Linked DNA regions of Schizosaccharomyces pombe. The gene in region 1 interacts genetically with each later gene. Each region holds a gene or a part of one and is shown in the gene's direction. Other genes may lie near its edges. The genes, in order: SPOM_SPBC16E9.02C, xap5 and get2.

What was found.
Region 2: mutations in SPOM_SPBC16E9.02C (region 1) and xap5 together harm fitness more than expected from each alone (negative genetic interaction), as found in Schizosaccharomyces pombe (one large-scale study listed by BioGRID).
Region 3: mutations in SPOM_SPBC16E9.02C (region 1) and get2 together harm fitness more than expected from each alone (negative genetic interaction), as found in Schizosaccharomyces pombe (one large-scale study listed by BioGRID).

The regions. Positions count from the first base shown.
Region 1 is NC_003423.3:1,916,505-1,923,210, reverse strand, and holds SPOM_SPBC16E9.02C (CUE domain protein ), read left to right. Parts: upstream 1-2,862; 5' UTR 2,863-3,037; coding exon 3,038-3,136; intron 3,137-3,144; exon of another isoform or gene 3,145-3,222; coding exon 3,223-3,292; exon of another isoform or gene 3,293-3,509; coding exon 3,510-5,050; 3' UTR 5,051-5,205; downstream 5,206-6,706. Other genes in the region: proteasome assembly chaperone Pac3, read right to left, coding at 1,038-1,346, 1,578-1,700; cytochrome oxidase complex assembly protein coa1, read left to right, coding at 1,699-2,448; CCAAT-binding factor complex repressor Php4, read left to right, coding at 6,474-6,706.
Region 2 is NC_003421.2:752,659-758,173, forward strand, and holds xap5 (splicing factor, xap-5-like protein), read left to right. Parts: upstream 1-2,593; 5' UTR 2,594-2,598; coding exon 2,599-2,747; exon of another isoform or gene 2,748-2,810; coding exon 2,811-3,528; 3' UTR 3,529-3,632; downstream 3,633-5,515. Other genes in the region: SPOM_SPCC1020.13C (DDHD family phospholipase), read left to right, coding at 1-22, 67-631, 695-1,435, 1,477-1,973; protein Emc6, read left to right, coding at 4,707-4,766, 4,848-5,103, 5,193-5,203.
Region 3 is NC_003421.2:186,018-191,507, forward strand, and holds get2 (GET complex subunit Get2), read left to right. Parts: upstream 1-3,096; 5' UTR 3,097-3,241; coding exon 3,242-3,766; intron 3,767-3,826; coding exon 3,827-4,075; 3' UTR 4,076-4,384; downstream 4,385-5,490. Other genes in the region: protein Fft2, read right to left, coding at 1-860; vacuolar H+-ATPase assembly protein Vma21, read left to right, coding at 2,083-2,132, 2,306-2,397, 2,451-2,575; kinetochore protein fta7, read left to right, coding at 4,713-4,828, 5,006-5,162, 5,221-5,385.

The DNA.
Region 1 (6,706 bases):
CATAATAAAGAGGATTTACAAAGTTGCAAGCAGATGTTCGACAAAATCAATGGTCAAGAGTCCATAATTGCAAAATAAAAAAATAGAATTCACATTTTCCGATTTTCCGCTGTTTTTAGTGTGTGTGACGACTTCTAAGCATATATCACTTCATATTATTATTAAACAAATTTCTTAGCTTATCGAAACTTAGGAAGCAGAGAGTGCCGCTTCATTTTTTTCCACTGTCATTTATGGCGCTAACCGAAATTCCCATGAATTGCTCGATTTATTCCTTTCCTTATGACATTAACCGGTACCATCACTTTCAAGATAACATTACTAGCGAACGCAATTTGAAGCATACGATATAAGAATCATCACCCAATGTATGAAATCATTTCTTATGAACCTTCAGAAACGTTGGAAAGGTATAGTAACGGATAGCTCGGTTGGCGCATGAAATTTAGCTATCAAACTTACGGCATGTAATGGAGTTGAATCGTTCCAATATACGGATTCAAATATTGTGCATAATACAGAGAAGAAAATTTTCTCTAAGATTGCGACGTTAGCACCGCTGTAGAAAGACCTTCCAAATGAATTTGCGTTAATAATTGTATTGCCAGCCAAGATTGTGAGAGATTCATCTGTAATGTCTAGTATTAAACATTACAAAAACTTCACTAACTAGGAAAAAAAAAAGATGTTTTTTTTTTTTCTATAATCAATTTGCTCGTTCGCCAAAGAATGATGATCGCACACTAAGCGCATCGTTTGTTGAGCTCCATACATCTAAGAAAGGAAAGACCTGTATTTGTCTTAAAAAAGGAATTTGTAAAGAGCTATCGAATACAGAAATTGTCGTGGTACCAAAAAAATCGACTTAATGAAACACGCAATGCATAAAAATATTTCGCGCATTCTTTGTTTTTATGAATTTTTGTGGATTCCTTTTCAATTCGTAAAGTTTAGAAAGTTCTCTTCTATATCTGTAGTAAACACAAGAGCATCAAACCAATTGAGACAAACATTACCGATTGTTCACATTCAGACCGTTAAAAACAGATCTCCTTAACCAATTCTAAAATAACAACTGTTAAATCACCATTTTTTTCATTGTCATCAGTCCATGGAACGTGAAGCCCTAAACAGACACGGGGGATTCGAACATCGGGGCGAACGAGCATCTGTTGGCGGGCTAGTAAAGAACCAACCTGGCCTGCTGTAATTTGTGCCCAATGTGATTTAATGTCGTCTTCTCCTCCACCTCCTAGTAGAGTCCTCACACCGATTTCTGGCAAAGTAGACATGTCACCGGTTATTGACACCGGAGACATTACGCTCTTTTCATAAGTCATCATATACTAATTTTAAATTTGTCAGCTCTTTAATAATTATACTGTAAAAAAAAATTGCTTATGAATCATAGATGTCCTCTGACTTTCTCTCCCTGTCCTTCCTATTCCATTACATCGAGGCACCCGACCTTTTGACAAAGTATCAAATTTAAAATAATTATCGTATATTTCCATTTAGTTACGGTAGGATCTTATATCTGATAAATTCATATCTGACTGAATTAGGTTGCTTCTTACCATTTGACCTATTTTTCCAGATATTGTAACCAAAATCGTGATTTGGTTGGAAAATCGCATTGAAATTGCTTGAATTTCTTTCCCGTTATAATTTTTTGATGTCTGCTTTATCTTAGGAAACATGATATCTTCTAAAAGCTTGGATTACACAAGGTTCCTTCCTTTTTTTGCCGCTTTGGTTCGTGGACATTGTCTGACCGTCAAGAGCCCAACCCATAATTGTGGAAGCGGTGTTAAAACGATAATGGATAAATCATCCATTTTTTTAAAAAACAGATATCCAATTTCTATTAATCGTTTTGTTCAGCAAAGAAAAACTTTTTGTGGGGCTAGCGTTTGCCTGCATAAAGTTCTCGTTCAGCGACAATTCGGGTTTGAAGAAAAATCTCATGGGTTGAAGTATAAAAAATTATTTAGGAGGAACATAGGTACATCAGAAAAAAAAAATCGACTTCCCGATTTGCTTGAATTATCTTCCTCACCAAGGAGACTGCCGATCCTTTTTGCTGCTTTTTGTTTACTGTGGGGAACATGTGCTGTATTGGCTATCCAGTACGGAAAGCAAAACTCCAATGTAACTCAAGTAGTTATGTATCGTGTGCAGCATTCAAAAGAAGCTCAAGATCTATTGGGTTCAAACATCGATTTTAAATACCCCTTTCCATGGGTTCCAGGAAAACTTCATAAACGTCAAGGGTTTATTGATATCAATTTCGAGGTTTCAGGATCTCTTGCTTCTGGAACTGTTCACTACCAAAGTCAGCGCTTTGGACCTATAGCCCACTGGGTAGAGTTAGATTGTACTTTGACAAGCAACGGAAAAACAATCAAAATTCCTACGGGTGTATCTAAAGATACTCAATGGACTTAAAATTTTAAATAAGGAACCAACTTTCATGTTTTTATGTTATAATCGCTTTGTTTACGTCCAAACTTTTAAACTAATGATGGCTGTTTTCTTTCCTATTTAATGGATTATCATTTTGATTTACTACTATGTTTACCAGTGTATATTTACACTTCAAAAACCACACCCGTATAATGATTTTCCTTCTTTACTTTCTTCCTTCAATTCCAACATGAGTGTGCTATATAGTACAAGACTGAATATGTATCAATATAGTGATATTATTGGGTATTTTATAAATAGATATCTCTATAATTTATTACCGAGTCATATATAAATACGCAAGGGATTGTAAGAGATAAGACGTATACCCTCAGTAAGAAGCAGTACGCCTCGTTGTTCATTCAAATTCATCACCGCGTCCGTTTCTTATATTTCGAAAGAACCATTCCTTTTTCTTATATCCTTTTAATTAATATACTTGTACATACCCGGTATTCTCTACTTCGAGTCCTTGAGATCATCATTCATTCCTTGCTTGTTGATTTTTTTATTTGCGAGTTTCGCTTTGTTCGTTAGATAATTAAACATTCAAAACGAATGAGATTTCAGTATGGCCTCTGAACAGTCTAATCCAAGACTACCTCGACGACCGCCTTATATGGCTGAGAAAGCGCGTGCGACTCTTAAAGAAGCATTTCCTAATACCGACGTATGTAATTCAGATTAGTCTGCATGTTACCAAAACTCTCTAAGTTTACTTTCATTGCTACATATCTAACATATATTTATCTATAGGATGCAATTATTCGAGCAGTCCTAGCAGCTAGCGGATATAAGTTAGAGCCTGCTTTCAACGCATTGCTTGGTAAGTATTAGGCTACACATATATTTCGTGTCTTTGGGGATGTACTGTGAACGATCTGTAATGTGCTATTCACTTTGTTTTTGAAGCTTTACCTTATTGATTTCATTTGATATCTTAAAGTGTGGCTCATAGTTCGCGTTTGTTTGCTCCCTAAAGAATATCGTGCTTGAAAAGTTTTATGAATGCAATAGTCAACGTTCATTTCTAACCATAATAGGTTTGAGTGATCCTCAAGTTGCTGAAGAAATGGAACAAGCTGAAACTTCTTATGCTTATGACACAGCCGCACATGACGATCCAGTGCAACGACAGCTTGAGGAAGACGAGAGATGTGCCAGAGAGCTTGCTAATCGTTACAACAGCCATCGTCCAGAACGTAGGCGCAAAACAAACAATGATCGTAGGAATTACCCTCCGCAAAACCGTACAGCAAAGCCCAATGACAACGATGGAGATGATTATTCGTTTTTTGAAGACGATCTTCCAGTCATCAAAGATACATTTATGCGTGGATTCCAATCATTTAAGCAAAGAAGTATGGAATGGGTGGAGAATATCGCTTCCAAATTTGATGGTGAGGAAGAAGACGATGATGATGAAAAGTATTCTGCACCTTCTAAAATTTATCCTTCTCCAAGAAGATCTACTGCTGCTACTTTGGAATCCGCATATGAAGAACGACCACCTTCGTTACCACGTCGTAAACCCTCTCGACCAGGAACAGCCATTACGCTTCCCCCATATGAATCTGATCCACACATGCTGAATGAGAAAGATTTTGAGAGACTTCGCTTAGAATCATCTTCATCTCCAATGATGAGGCGATCTTCATTGAACTCCAACCGTCGCTCCGTAGAATCAAGTTCTTCAGCCGCCTTTGTGGAGGGACAATCCTTCATTTTGGATAGCAATGGTGCGATTGAAGTCGCTAATTCTGCTTTTGCTCTCGATGATAGTGATCTTGAATCAGCTTACAATGAAGAGTTAGAGATGAAAAAAGACACAAGTAAGCCTACTGCAAGCACTAAGGAAGTTGTAGTGGAAAAAAAACCCGACGAGTCACGAAAGCAAGCCGCTCGCACGCTTGAGACCGTATCAGAAGAACAAATGGGATCATCCAATGCTAAATCCAAGGTACTAACATCTGAGCCAAAGGACTCTACCTCTGTTGAAGCCGAAAAAACCGAAACTGATGAGCCTGCTGTTGGTAAAGGAGCATCCGATGTGTCTGATACAGCTGAAATTTCTGAGAAAACTGAAGCCAAGAATGCTGATTCGGAAGCCAATTTAGAAGAGAAATCTGACGTTGGGGAAGAAAAGGAGAGTAAGGACGAAAATAACAAAGCTAGTCTTCATAAGGATGTTGAGGAGAAAGATACAAAGATAACAAATGAAGACACTGGTAAAACGGAGACCGATGTCAAAGCCAAGGAGACTGATAGTATAGAGGCCAATGACAAGGATGAAAAGACCGATAGCAAAGAAACTGAGGACAAGGTCGAAGAAACTGAAAGTAAAGAGGCCGATGTCAAGGCTAAGGAGACTGATAGTATAGAGGTCGATGACAAGGAGGAAAAGACCGATAGCAAAGAAACTGCGGACAAAGTCGAACAGACTGACAGTAAGGACACTAACGAGAAGCCTGCGAAGGATGATAATAAAGAGGCAAATGAAAAGGCTGAAAAAGTTGACAGCAAAGATGTTAAGGAAAAGATCGAGGAGGCTGCTGATCTACAAAATTCGGGAAAAGAGACTTAAGGGAAAGAACAACAAGGCACATCATGATAGGTTCAAGAGTTGTAATCAGCTAATGGTACTATATATGCCTTGAGTATTCAGGGTACGAGTAGCTTGAAGATTTAAATTTTGCTATTTTCGGTGTTCCTCAGCTTTACAGTAAATGTTTTAGCGCTGTTTCGATTTTTCTTATAAGTAATGTTTTTTCGAGCTCTTTTGTTTCATATTTTTATAATTGAATTATTAATAATCAATTAAATTTTTCACGACAATCGCAATCCCGTTGATGAATTTGCAAAGTAACTTTAATTTAAGATTGTGCTTGAAGTTTTATCGAAACCATTTGGATAAACTGAGTAGCTAAGTATCCATACATTCACTCCATCCTTGCGTGCATAGCAACCTTTATTCTTTTTACCACTACTGTACATGAGACATATGATGCTTACAAAAAAATGATATTCATTGAGAAGGCACGAAACAACGTGAATTATTAAAACAACGTATTTTAACTACAACAATAACTGAATACAACATAAATCAAACTAAAAAATGATATAAAATATAAAAACTGTACGTAGCATTCGGTCATCACGAGCCATGGCACGAAGCAACGACTTCACGATGGTTTTAAGCTATGCTGTCGGTCTCCCCGACATAATCTATACCGATTCCATGAAGAGGAAAAAGCTGCAACCATTAATACGGTTCTATATTATAACCGCGTTAGAAGAGAGCAGACTTTTTGACATCAGTAATTCATTATTTTGTGAGATGAAGCTTTGTTTTAACTCACTCACATTTCTTATATACTAGGAGTCAAAAAACAGTCACATGTGTTAGTGCACTTTCGTTTCATCTCATTATATCAAAAATATAAACAAATGTTAAATAATCTTCAAAGGACGGTATGACATGAGAAAAGCAGTGAGTCAGAACATTAATTTAACTCCAAAAAAGTAACATGGATAAGCATTACTATGATAGTTGGTGTGCCGAATGATTGTAGTATTACATAGCCAGAGCCCAGAGTTTATTAGGTCGATCGGTTTTAATCAGATGATGTCCACCATACCCGCGTTTTTTAATTGGTTCTGTAACTGAAATGATGGGTATTGAGAATGTATGTCAACAGCGCCTCTAAGCCGACCTGTTCACTAATCCGTTTTTTCCCGAAAATTGAGTCTTTAAAGATATAACGAGGTGTTGCATACCGGGTTAACAGTACAATCATCGAACCACACGGCACTTAGATCAGATATAATTTAATCGTATCTCTTTATCAGATTAAAACAAACCACCAACGACAAACGTTTGAAAAAGTGAGATTTTTAAGCTTGGTCAGTAGAGGCATTGGAGTATTGGAAAATAAAGATTTATATATTTTGCTAAAAGTGTAGTTCTGTACTTGATATCTCCTATCCCCCCAACTTTTTTTTTGCTCATGGAATCGTCTAAAAGTCCATCGGAAGTGGAAAAATCATCTTCTGCTTCTCCAGCACCTCAAAAGCCGATGATTCGCGTCTCTAAACAATGGGTTGTTCCTCCTCGTCCCAAACCAGGAAGGAAACCTGCGTTAGATGCTCTGGGAAGAAGAAAGGCACCTATTAAACCAAGACCTGGGCCGACTTCAGCTTTGTCGGTCGAGGAAGCCAAATTCCGTGTTCGTGAAAAACA
Region 2 (5,515 bases), on another chromosome or scaffold:
TCAAGAGCCAAATCAGAAGAATGTAACTAATTTTTTAATCTATATGTGAGCTTAACTAACGAGCAGGTCATTGTTGGAATTTCTGGGCTTCATGTGGTAAACTTACCTACTCTTACTTTAAAGCCTCTATACTGGCCAAGTGCCAGTAAAAATGATACCTTACGAGTCGTTCGCGGTCTTTGGATGTACGAAGATACGGGTCTTCCTGTAATCAATGAATTGTCGGATATGTTAGAAGAGGGCTACCAGGAAGTGAAGCCATACGCCGTTAACTGGGATAATGTTTTAAAAGAAGAAGAAGAAGGGAAGGATTCTCAAGATGATCCTTCTGTATTGTCTCATAAACGTAACAAGTCCTCTAAGGAATTAATTGATGCGATGCAATGGCCTCTTAAACCTACCTCCTCTGGCAAATATGTATTTTACGAAGACGGATATAGAGCACTCATTTGTCAAGGAGGTTTGTTATCCTATTTTTCAAAAGGGACTCAATCTCGAAGGACCAGTATTAAAGGTATGCCGGTCGTTCGAGATTTTCCTTACTTTGAAGATGATGGTTTTAATGGACCTAAACAAGTTACAGATCTTTTTTTGGTGGTTCATGGTATCGGTCAAAAAAGATCAGAGACTGGTAAGTAAACTTGATTTTTTTTTATCTTACACCGGCATTCAATTACTAATGTTGACAATATAGAGGAACGATTCTTATTTACCAAGACGTGCAACGTTTTTCGTTCATTGATCCAAATTCAGAAAAACATAATGAAAGAGGATCCGTTGATTCGAAACGATTATGAACCACAACTTCTTCCGATATGTTGGAGAAATAAGCTTAATTTTAATTCATATATAAAGCCAGTTGCCGGTGATGAAGGACGGGTTGAGGATGAAGAATTTGAAGAAAATCGATTTTCAATTGAGGATATTGAAATTGATAGCATTCCAGCGGTGCGAAGGTTATTAGGAGATGTGATGAGTGATATTCCCTATTATATGTCTCATCACAAAGAATCCATTATAAAGTCTGTAATTCGTGAAGCTAATAGGGTTTACCATTTGTGGAAGGACTGCAATCCTTACTTTTTAGAAAACAAGGGCCGTATCTTTATAATTGGGCATTCTTTGGGCTCCACAGTTGTTTTTGATATTTTGTCACTTCAACCCACTTTTGTCAAAGAAATTACTATAGACGATGATGAAAGCTGCTTTATATTCGACACAAACGGTTTTTTTTGTTTTGGTGGTCCGGTAGGTTTTTTTTTGCATTTGAATCAACAAAGTATTATTCCTCGTCGTGGAAGAGGCTCATCAAGATACGAAATAAATAAAAACTTTATAAATTCTGATGTTCCAAAGTCATATACTTACGATGGTTATGATCGGTACGGATGTCTCGCAGTCGACTCTTTTTATAACATCTATAATCACCTTGATCGTAAGCGCATCATTAAATTATCGTATTTACTAACAAATTAGCCGTTGCGATGCGATTAAATCCCACAGTGGATCTCTCATTTTCGAAAGGCATCCACCCAACTCGTATACTGTTCACAAGAAAATCTTCAAGTATTTTGAGAATGATCTCACATTCTAATACTGATCCTGTGGAACTTCGAAGTTACAATCAATCTTTGCAGCAAAATAAAAACAATGAGCCCACAGCAGTGGTCCCACTGGAGCCTGAACAGACTGTCGAGTTAGAGACTCGCAATTTTCGCAGAGAAGAAAGGGCCAAGTGGCGCATGCAAGAGTTGAATGAAAACTCTCAGTTGGACTACGTATTTACGAGTGCCCATGGGGTCATTTCAAACAAATATCTTTCTATGCTTTCGGCTCATAGCAGTTACTGGAGTAGTGAGGATCTTGCTTGCTTTTTAGTAGTGGAAACTGGCCGAAACTTTGGTATTGCCAATTCAATTGAGCAATTTCGTGGAAAGCATATGCCACGTATATTCAAAGGGGACAGCTCTTGAAAATTTTCTTTTTATTTTATCTGACAGTATACCAGCGAGCTTCATATTTATTAGCGATGCGAAGTGGACAAATTAAAATGAATTTGATGAACATTGGATAATGATGATTTTTTAGGATCACTTTAATGACTTTATATATTGGCATTCGAAAGATGGTTTTGCATTCAATGACCAGATACGAAAATTTATTAGAGTATTTATAGCAACACTAGTGATTAGCTAGTTTTTTTTTTGTTTTTAATCTATTGCTATTTTTCCAAAGCTTGTTAATACAAACGAGTAATTCGTTTTATTTGTCTCTAGATTGGTTTTAAAAAGTGTCTATACAAGCAGTTAAAGATTACAGAATGCTTCAAAGTGCCCCACCTCGTTGTTATTCTATTTAATAACCGTTTTGACAAATATAAAAAACTTATATGCAACGTGACTTTGGCAAAGTGTGCGTTTATTCTAGGATCCCTCATAGGTAAATGTAAAAAACATGTTCTTCTTCTACGATAAATATAGTAATAGTCATTTCTTTCATTTTGAGATTTGAAAACCGAGGCAAAAAAAGGGTATTTTGGGTATTCAAGCTTATTTGGAAGAACGCTCACCACTCACGTTTTTTTGAATTCTTCATACAATGAGCGGCCATACTGATGCCGATGAAATTCATGAGATTTTACGAAATAGTACGACTGGTTTAGTCCATTTAAAGGATTATCAAAGAGTAAAACAAAACATCGTTGAAAAACGAGAGAAACATGCGCTATCAACCACAAGTACTAAAATGTAAGTGAAAAGAACGAGAAAAGCCCGATAGTATTCTAAATATGACTGACAATTCAATTTTAGAAAAAAGAGAAAAGATGCTTTAAGCAAAAAGGTCAAACAGGGCATTAAAGTTAACAAAGGAAAACTTTCTTTTGGTGAAGATGAAGAACTGGAGAATGATGATCTACCTTTAAAAAAAGTTGAGAAAAAAATGTTTATGGGAAAGGATCCATCTGCGGATACCTCCTTTTTGCCAGATGCAGAGCGAGAAATACGTGAAAACGCGAAGCGAGCCGAATATCGCAAACAATGGCTAAAAGAGCAGGAGCAAATTCGGGAAAAAGAGATTTTGATACCATTTATCTATTACGATGGAACAAGTACCACTTATCATGTAAGGACTAGATTGAAAGATTCGGTTGGACACTTTCTTGCTGATATGAAACAGCAAATCCCATTTTTGAAGAGGATTCTGGATATGGATAAATTTTTACTGGTTCAATCTGATTTAATCATTCCCCATCACCATGAGCTTTACTACTTTTACATTAATAAAGTTCAAGGACGTGATGGACTTTTATTTGACTTTGATAAGCTGTCATGCTCTAGTCCAGAAATGGTTGCAACTACACAACTTCCTTCTCAATGCATTCCTCATCTAGTTCAAAAATCATATTATTTACAAAATCGCCATGTGTTTCCATGTGTGCATTGGGAAGTCTTTGATTCTCGAAAAGATTATTCATTGGAAAAGCATGCAACTGATCCTAACGCTGCATTATTTTACCGGCCCTCATAATGCCTTTTAAAAAGTTTTCGATTTTTTTTCTCTTGGTTCTTTATTTTTGTTTTGCATACTCATACTTCCCTCATCGACTAATTTAATAACAATTTCATTACAACTATATTGTTTTTATGTTTGTATTTTAAACAAATGAATTGCGCCAAACATATAACTTGATAAGCTATACAAAGAGAGAGACTTTGGTAAAAAAGAAACAGATATTATCCACTAAGTATTCGCAATGGGTTTTAGTATTTACACTTACTACTCTCAACATCACTCCAACCTTGACTGAAAACCTTGATTTCATTGATGTGCTATAGGATATTGTAAAATAAAGTAATTAAAAAATTAGCAATTCGCTTTTGGAATTATTAAATGTTTCCTTTATTATTGAATTCTCATATTTCTGCTTGTTTTTATTTAATGTATCGCAGCGTTGGTATGCAAATACATAGTATTTGATCATAAACATATTAACGATACGTTAATTTGCGGTGGATTATACTGTGCTATTTAGGTATACAATTTTTGGTAAAGAAAAAAGTGATCGTGACTGAATGATGAGAATAACTATTCTATTGTAAATAAGAAATGAAATTCGCTTTTCGTTCTCTTGGAAGTATAAGCATGTCGCTTTTACGAATGTTCACGAGTCTCTAATCCTTTCGGTATACTGTAAACAATCTAGTATGTAACGTTTCATCCACCATTTTCAAGTTTTAGAATTAGAAAACCAGTAATACAGGAAATATAAGATGATACTTTTTTCTAAAACAAATAAATATGAAAAATCGACCTTGATGTAAAACGAGAACCTCTTTTAAACAATGCGATTTCCCAATATCCTAGTAATTAGCCCATTTCTGTTCAAAAAAATCAAATGGAAAAAAATAAAGTACTCAATTGTATTGAATAAACTATTTCACCCTCCAAACTAGCCAACATTCAGCCCAAGCAAAAAGTAATGCTTTTTCCCATATCCATATCGCTTGTAGCTTTACATGAAAGATTGGCAATTACGCAGTTTGCAAAATGCTTTTAAGGATACGTCAAGCTGCGAAAAAATTACGTTCCTACTAAGTCCTTATGTAGTTAATACCGCAGTATAAAGATGCGTTATCCATCATTTTTTGGTTATAATTCTACAAGCGGTGAACTCAACTAAACATCAGAATTGTTCATAAGCTAATATGGAAAGGGATAAAGGCGTCGCTCCAATTGTTGTAGAAAATGTTGCATATAATGAACAGGTAAGAAATGATTGCAGAGCTAGATTTTCTTGGTACTAGTTTTTTTAAGGATTTTATAATTGAGTGCTAATGAATCCAAAGGTCGTTTCTTTTGTTCGAAACTTGACTTCTAGTTTTTTCGGGTGCGCAGCTGGTATTTTGGGTTTAACTTCATATGAAGGGCTTGCTCTGTATGTACTCGGTTACTTCTTCGTCTCCTTTCTACTCTTTGCATTGAAAATGCGTGGTAACTTAACTAAGTATTACCAGCCCGGATATAAGTTTTGGATCGCTAAAATATTAGATGGCGCACCTTCTTATGTTTTAACTTGGACATTGTTCTACAGTTTAGTATATGGTAAGAAACTTGCTCGATCGTTGCTATTTTATTTTGTTTGAATAGTCAGATCTCGCATTGAAACAATTACACGCTAACTAAGTCATTAGTTTATGAGTAATGTGTTTAATTTGATTTATGCATTTGGCAATTAATCCAAGATGAACCCTCCTTATTCTTGTTCAGCCCTTTCGTTAATAACACATATACCTCATTAAGATCTATTGTTTGAGAAAAAAGTGGATCTCTTCCTTTTGTTCGTGAACCCATCCTATAAATATTTTGTATTTCCTAATAAAACACAAATCTAACTGTTTTTTTACATTTCTTTACTTTTCCTATAGAAAATAGGATATTTGTTTAAAATATATTTGTCCTGTCAGCGATGCTAGAACATAGCACACACATTCCGTTGTATTCATGTCGTCTTCCT
Region 3 (5,490 bases), on another chromosome or scaffold:
TTAGTTTGAGCAAGTGTGTTGATCACCTGGTGAATCGGAGCCTGGGGAACAAATGAGCGTATCCATTGAACAGAACGAATAATAGCATTAGGAGAAGTAGTGGTTACAGGAGGAAGCTCGACAGGTGGAGCGGGAGGTGTAAGCAAGGTATTGTTGACTGGTGGGGTAGTCACGGGATTTGCGGAGGAGGAACGAGATCGCTGAGTAGAGCGTGGAGCAGAACGCGCTGTGGAGCGTGCAGATGAGCGCGAGTTTGAACGAACGTAGCTGGGTAAAACATTATTGACGGGTTGTGCTGGAGGCTGCGCGGGTATTGCCGATGTAGGATTGACAGCACCGATAGGATAGCCGTTATTATAAGGGGAACTATAATGTGCATTATAACCACCCTGAGGTATTGGAACAGTGCCTGGATAACCAGATGGCATACCAGGCATTGCTGCGGGAATTCCAGCATTGGGCAAAGACGCAGTATTGTAAGAGGGCAGGGGGTTATAAGAAGGGACTGGCTGCGATGATTGTCCCACGTATGAATAACCAAAATTGTTGTTGATTGCAGCGGGAGCATCTCTGGAATAAGCATTGGACATTGGAGTCGACGCATACGAAGAAGTTTGCGAATAATCAGTATTCATAAATTGAGTGTTCTCAGAAGTATTATACATTCCACCACCCATGGAATTATTCACCCCGTACATAGCGGAAGACTGTTGGACAGGGGGCGTACCATAGCTTTGAGGATTTCCGTATGAAGAAGGCAAACCTGTTTGCGAAGAACCATAAACTTCCGATTGAGGATTTTCGTCGGAAAACTTTCGTTTCCCGTTGTCCGATAAGTAATTTGAATTGTAAGGAAGCATCTAATTTAAAATCACATTAAGTCTTCTGTATTTATATATCAAATATCAGAAGTAGCACGTTTGGTTCGTGTTTGGGGCGTGCCTGACTCTTACGGGAGTACGCAGAAAAAAAATAATGGACTCTTTAAATCTGGATATGTCTTAAGTTAATTAAAAAAATTTACTGGATTTTAACGGTAATTATCGCAATGCCGTATATACTTTAACCTGTCAGGAATAGTACACTACGCTATGCTACACTACGTTGCGTATCACTATATGTCATATGTTGGAATACTAGCTAAGATCCGTTTATTGATAATCACGGGTAACTATCCGTCTATATACATAGATACCCGTTGATAACAACTATTTAGAAATATTATAAATAGCGTTACAACTGAACCTCGTTCCTCAGTTCAGTTATGAGCTATATTAGTGATAGGTAACATTATAACCCAGTTAATACAATACCTATACTCAGTTGCTACTTATACAACCTGTGTATTGTAATATAATAGACCACAAGGAAAACTCACCGCAGTTCTACGTATCCTTAAATCAGATACCAAACTGCGTAGCTTACATAACCTAGGCTTGATCTTATCGTTATATTAAATGCTTTTTATTACCTCAAAAATCTACTTCAACAGTTTGATTTCAAGCTAAAATGGTAAATTTTAATGCATAAAATATACCCATTGAGTAATCTATTTGCTCTTTTTTTTATACCGCTCGTCCGCTGATGAAAACGTCAACATAGCAATGCTTGTATCAAGTGAAGATGGATGGTGTGAAATCACTTGTTATAACAGAGGAGTAATTGAGTATTGCTTTTTTGATCACCACTGTTTGATACACCCTTGCCTGCTAAACAATTCAATGTGAGTTTGTAAATTGCAGTTTTATTTATGATCATCGACCAAGCCCTAACATACATTTGTTACTCGATTTAATTTAATTAATTTAATATTTCAACAAGGAACTATGAATTTGGAGACTTTGTCGCCCAGGTATTTTATTATATGTAAACACAAATTAAGCAGGTCGCACGTATAAGTCTACCGTATGTTATAAACAAAGATAATAAATTTTAATAAGATGACAAATAATTTCAGGGACTTTCAACATACGAATATCAATTGTCTACTTTTCATGTTGACAAAACTTTGACCTCTTATAAAGCAAGGTCCCAATAAATTAGGTCTCCACCACCATCAACAACTTGCATTCGTGATTTAAAATGGAAAGGAAATCCCAAGTTTCAGATACAAATAATAACTCTATACCTACGTAAGTTTATTAATTATTAGTTTATTTCTTTACGCCGGACTGCGAATTGGTTTTAAGAAATTCCATACAACCTTCCACAACAGTCTATAATCTTAGGTCTCTTATATTGTTTATTCCTTTTATATTCTTAACTAAATATGTTGGAAATGAAAACTTACTAACTTTCGTAATAGTAATGTTCTGCTTAAGTTTGTGGGTTTTAGTGTCGCATTATTTACATTACCACTTATAACTTATTTTTGGACGTTGAAGACTTTATTCAAAGGTATATACTAATTGTTGAATAATTTTGATTTTTACTGATAAATTTTGTTTTAGGATATCAAACATTGTACGCAGGATTATCTGCAGCTGTAATGGTCAATATTATCTTGGCCTTGTATATAGTCGCAGCCTTTCGCGAAGACTCCGGGACTCCCAAGAAGGATATAAAAAGGGAATAATAAATTTTCAGTAACCATTTTACTACTATTTTGAGTTATGACTTTTGCATTTCAATTCTAAATCAAATTTTGAAGCGGATTTTCCTTCTGCCAACGTATTTAGGTGAATCATTCGATGTCTTTATTTTTTTTCGTTAAAAGTATCGCAAAATGAAAGACTTTAGCTGGGACTATCCTATAATCTACTGGATTTTGCATGTATGTCTATTGAATAAGGTGCTACCACAAAGCTGTTGCTGGTGATACTACTCCTTTTTGTATCTGAATTAATGAACGGAAATTTTTTTGTTTAATTTTTCGCTAGTCTGTAATGAAAATATGTGTCTGTTCTTTAGTTTTTTGTAGTTTCCCAAAAAACACGAATTAGCAAAATGCAATTGATATGGCAATTTCAACCAATTTTATAATTAAATTTTCCTTTTTATAATATAAGGCTAACATGTATGATTCTTATCAAACATAACAGCTGTAGGAATTCAGTATTCTTCTAACACTTATGCATCACTATTTTCTCTCACCCCAAACCCCTCGTATATTGGAAAGTTGTTCAAGTGAGCATTATTGATTTTTTCCCAATATAATATTGATAAAAATATATATCTGTAAAAAAGTTTGGTGTTAATTATTTATTTTATTCTGTTTTCTGCTGATTCAAAGACTTCGAACATGTCGACTGCCAGTGAACAAGCTCGACTTAGACGTGAACGTCGACTGAATAAAATCAAACAAGGAGGTGCATCTAGAATCAATCAAATTTTGGGACAGAATTCAGATGACAGTCAATCCGATGTTCGAGCTACAGCTTCCGAGGAAGCTGTACATTCTGAAACTGCAACACCAGTAACGCCAATGTCTTCAGGATTCATGGAAAAGAGAGATGATACCTTCAATGCTGATCAAGTGGAATATCTTCCTTCCCAAGATTACCATAATTTGGAAAGTTCGCCTTTTAAACTTCAGTGTGATTCTCCATATAATGTACCACCTGAAAACATGTTTAATCAAAACCCTGATTTTGCAAATTTTTTTCAAGCTATGTTACAATCCGCAAAGGAGGGATCTGATACAAATTTTCAAGGTGAAAACGAACAAATTCCTCAAGCTACAGCTCCTTTAAAAAACTTAGTTGAGAAATATGCTCATCTTTTGGCAATTTCTATAGTAGTGATTGTTTGTTATTTTAAACATTTGGTAAGTCCTCATCTTCCTTTTTTGAAATTGTTTTTTTGCATACTAATATATTTATTTCAGCCATTACTTCCGTGGACATTTACTGTCGAAGCTTGCTTGTTCTCTATTCAATTTGTTTTGGACCGTAATAATGGACCTTCTTATTCTCTTCTAGCATCTCTGGCCTCTCAGCTTCCCCCTCCCTATGGAGCAATGATCCGTCATACAACAAGTTATGTTCCGTATTTCACACAATTGATTACAGATGCGTGTATGACAATATTTGCGTTAGGTTTATGTTGCTATTTTTATCCGTCGTTGGTGTATTAATAGTTGTTAATTTTCAGCATTTACTATTTATGAATCTTGGTTTTGCTTCGCAAATTGGTGATCGATTAATTAGCATTCAATTTTTGTTTAGATGAAATAAACTAACTGATTAAGCGAGAAAGACTTTTCAAACCCTTAGGAATTCAATTTTATATTATCTTTTCAACATCTAAACGATTTATATTCTAAAACATACTGCACTTCATTTGAACTGCTTTGCAACACATGCCATATTTACGATTGTCGGTACGTTTTATTTATTTTCTCTTTTAATTCAATGGTAGCAATAGTATATGATTTAAAAAGCTCTGTTTATTGTAATTGTAGTATTAATTAAAAACAGACTACTTAAAGTAATTTCTGGGATAGCTGTGAAAACATTATAACTATGATTTTTAAAATCTTTTATCAACTTATTATTGAAATAAAATAAGTAATTGAGAATTGGCTTGGTTGACTGTATATATGTAAAACAACTTCGTCCGAAGCGCTACAACAGCATGCAAACGTTGAAACGGCGAATTCTTGTTATAGAGAAATTTTTCATATAAAACCATACGTACATATTTTGCTATTTAAGTTCCAGATTGCTTAAAAGAAAATTGAAGTGGTAGCACCATTTTTATAAATATATGCAATGGAAATGAAAAGGCGCGTTCGCGCGGTGCGTCGAGACCAAATTCAAAAAAGATGGCGTCCATTAGAGGATAAGCAGCGCCAAGAAATAATAATTATTTTTAGGACGTGTTCAAGGTAAGTAATTGAGAATCATGTTATTGCTAAAAGTGCTTGTGCTTTTTAGCGCTTACTTGTGTACTGAAAGGGAAATCAAAGTTTGCTGTTGATGTTTACCTGGAAAAGTCTTTTAAGTACTTTTCCAAATTTTTTTAGTCATTATGTGTACGTATGCTAACTGTGCTATCGTAACAGATTGGTTTTGAATACAATAAAATCAGAAACAAGAAAATCTTTGGCCGAGGAATGGTTCATGAATATACTTTTAAAAATCGAAGCTCCTCTGAGAAATTTGCCTGTACCAAGGAAAAGAAAAGAGTCAATACTGTTCTCTCAATTACTTTCTTCGAATGTAAGTTATTAAGTCTTGATACGCATACATACGAAAGAGATATGACTAACATTTTTAGATGCAATTGGAACAGCAATTATACAGTGATTTGGACCATATTAACGTACTTCAACAGGAATTGAAGGTTGAAACTGCTCGTTTGGAGAATGAACAGAAATCTTACGAAGAAATGAAACAAAACATGGCCATAAATAATTCACGGCTTGCCGATTTAAAATCTAAAGTAAGTTTAAAACACGAACAGGCGAATGTTTTATTCAAGACTTCATCTTAACATATGACACAAAATGAGTTTTCCATTGTTTCAGTTATGTAAATAATCAAGCAA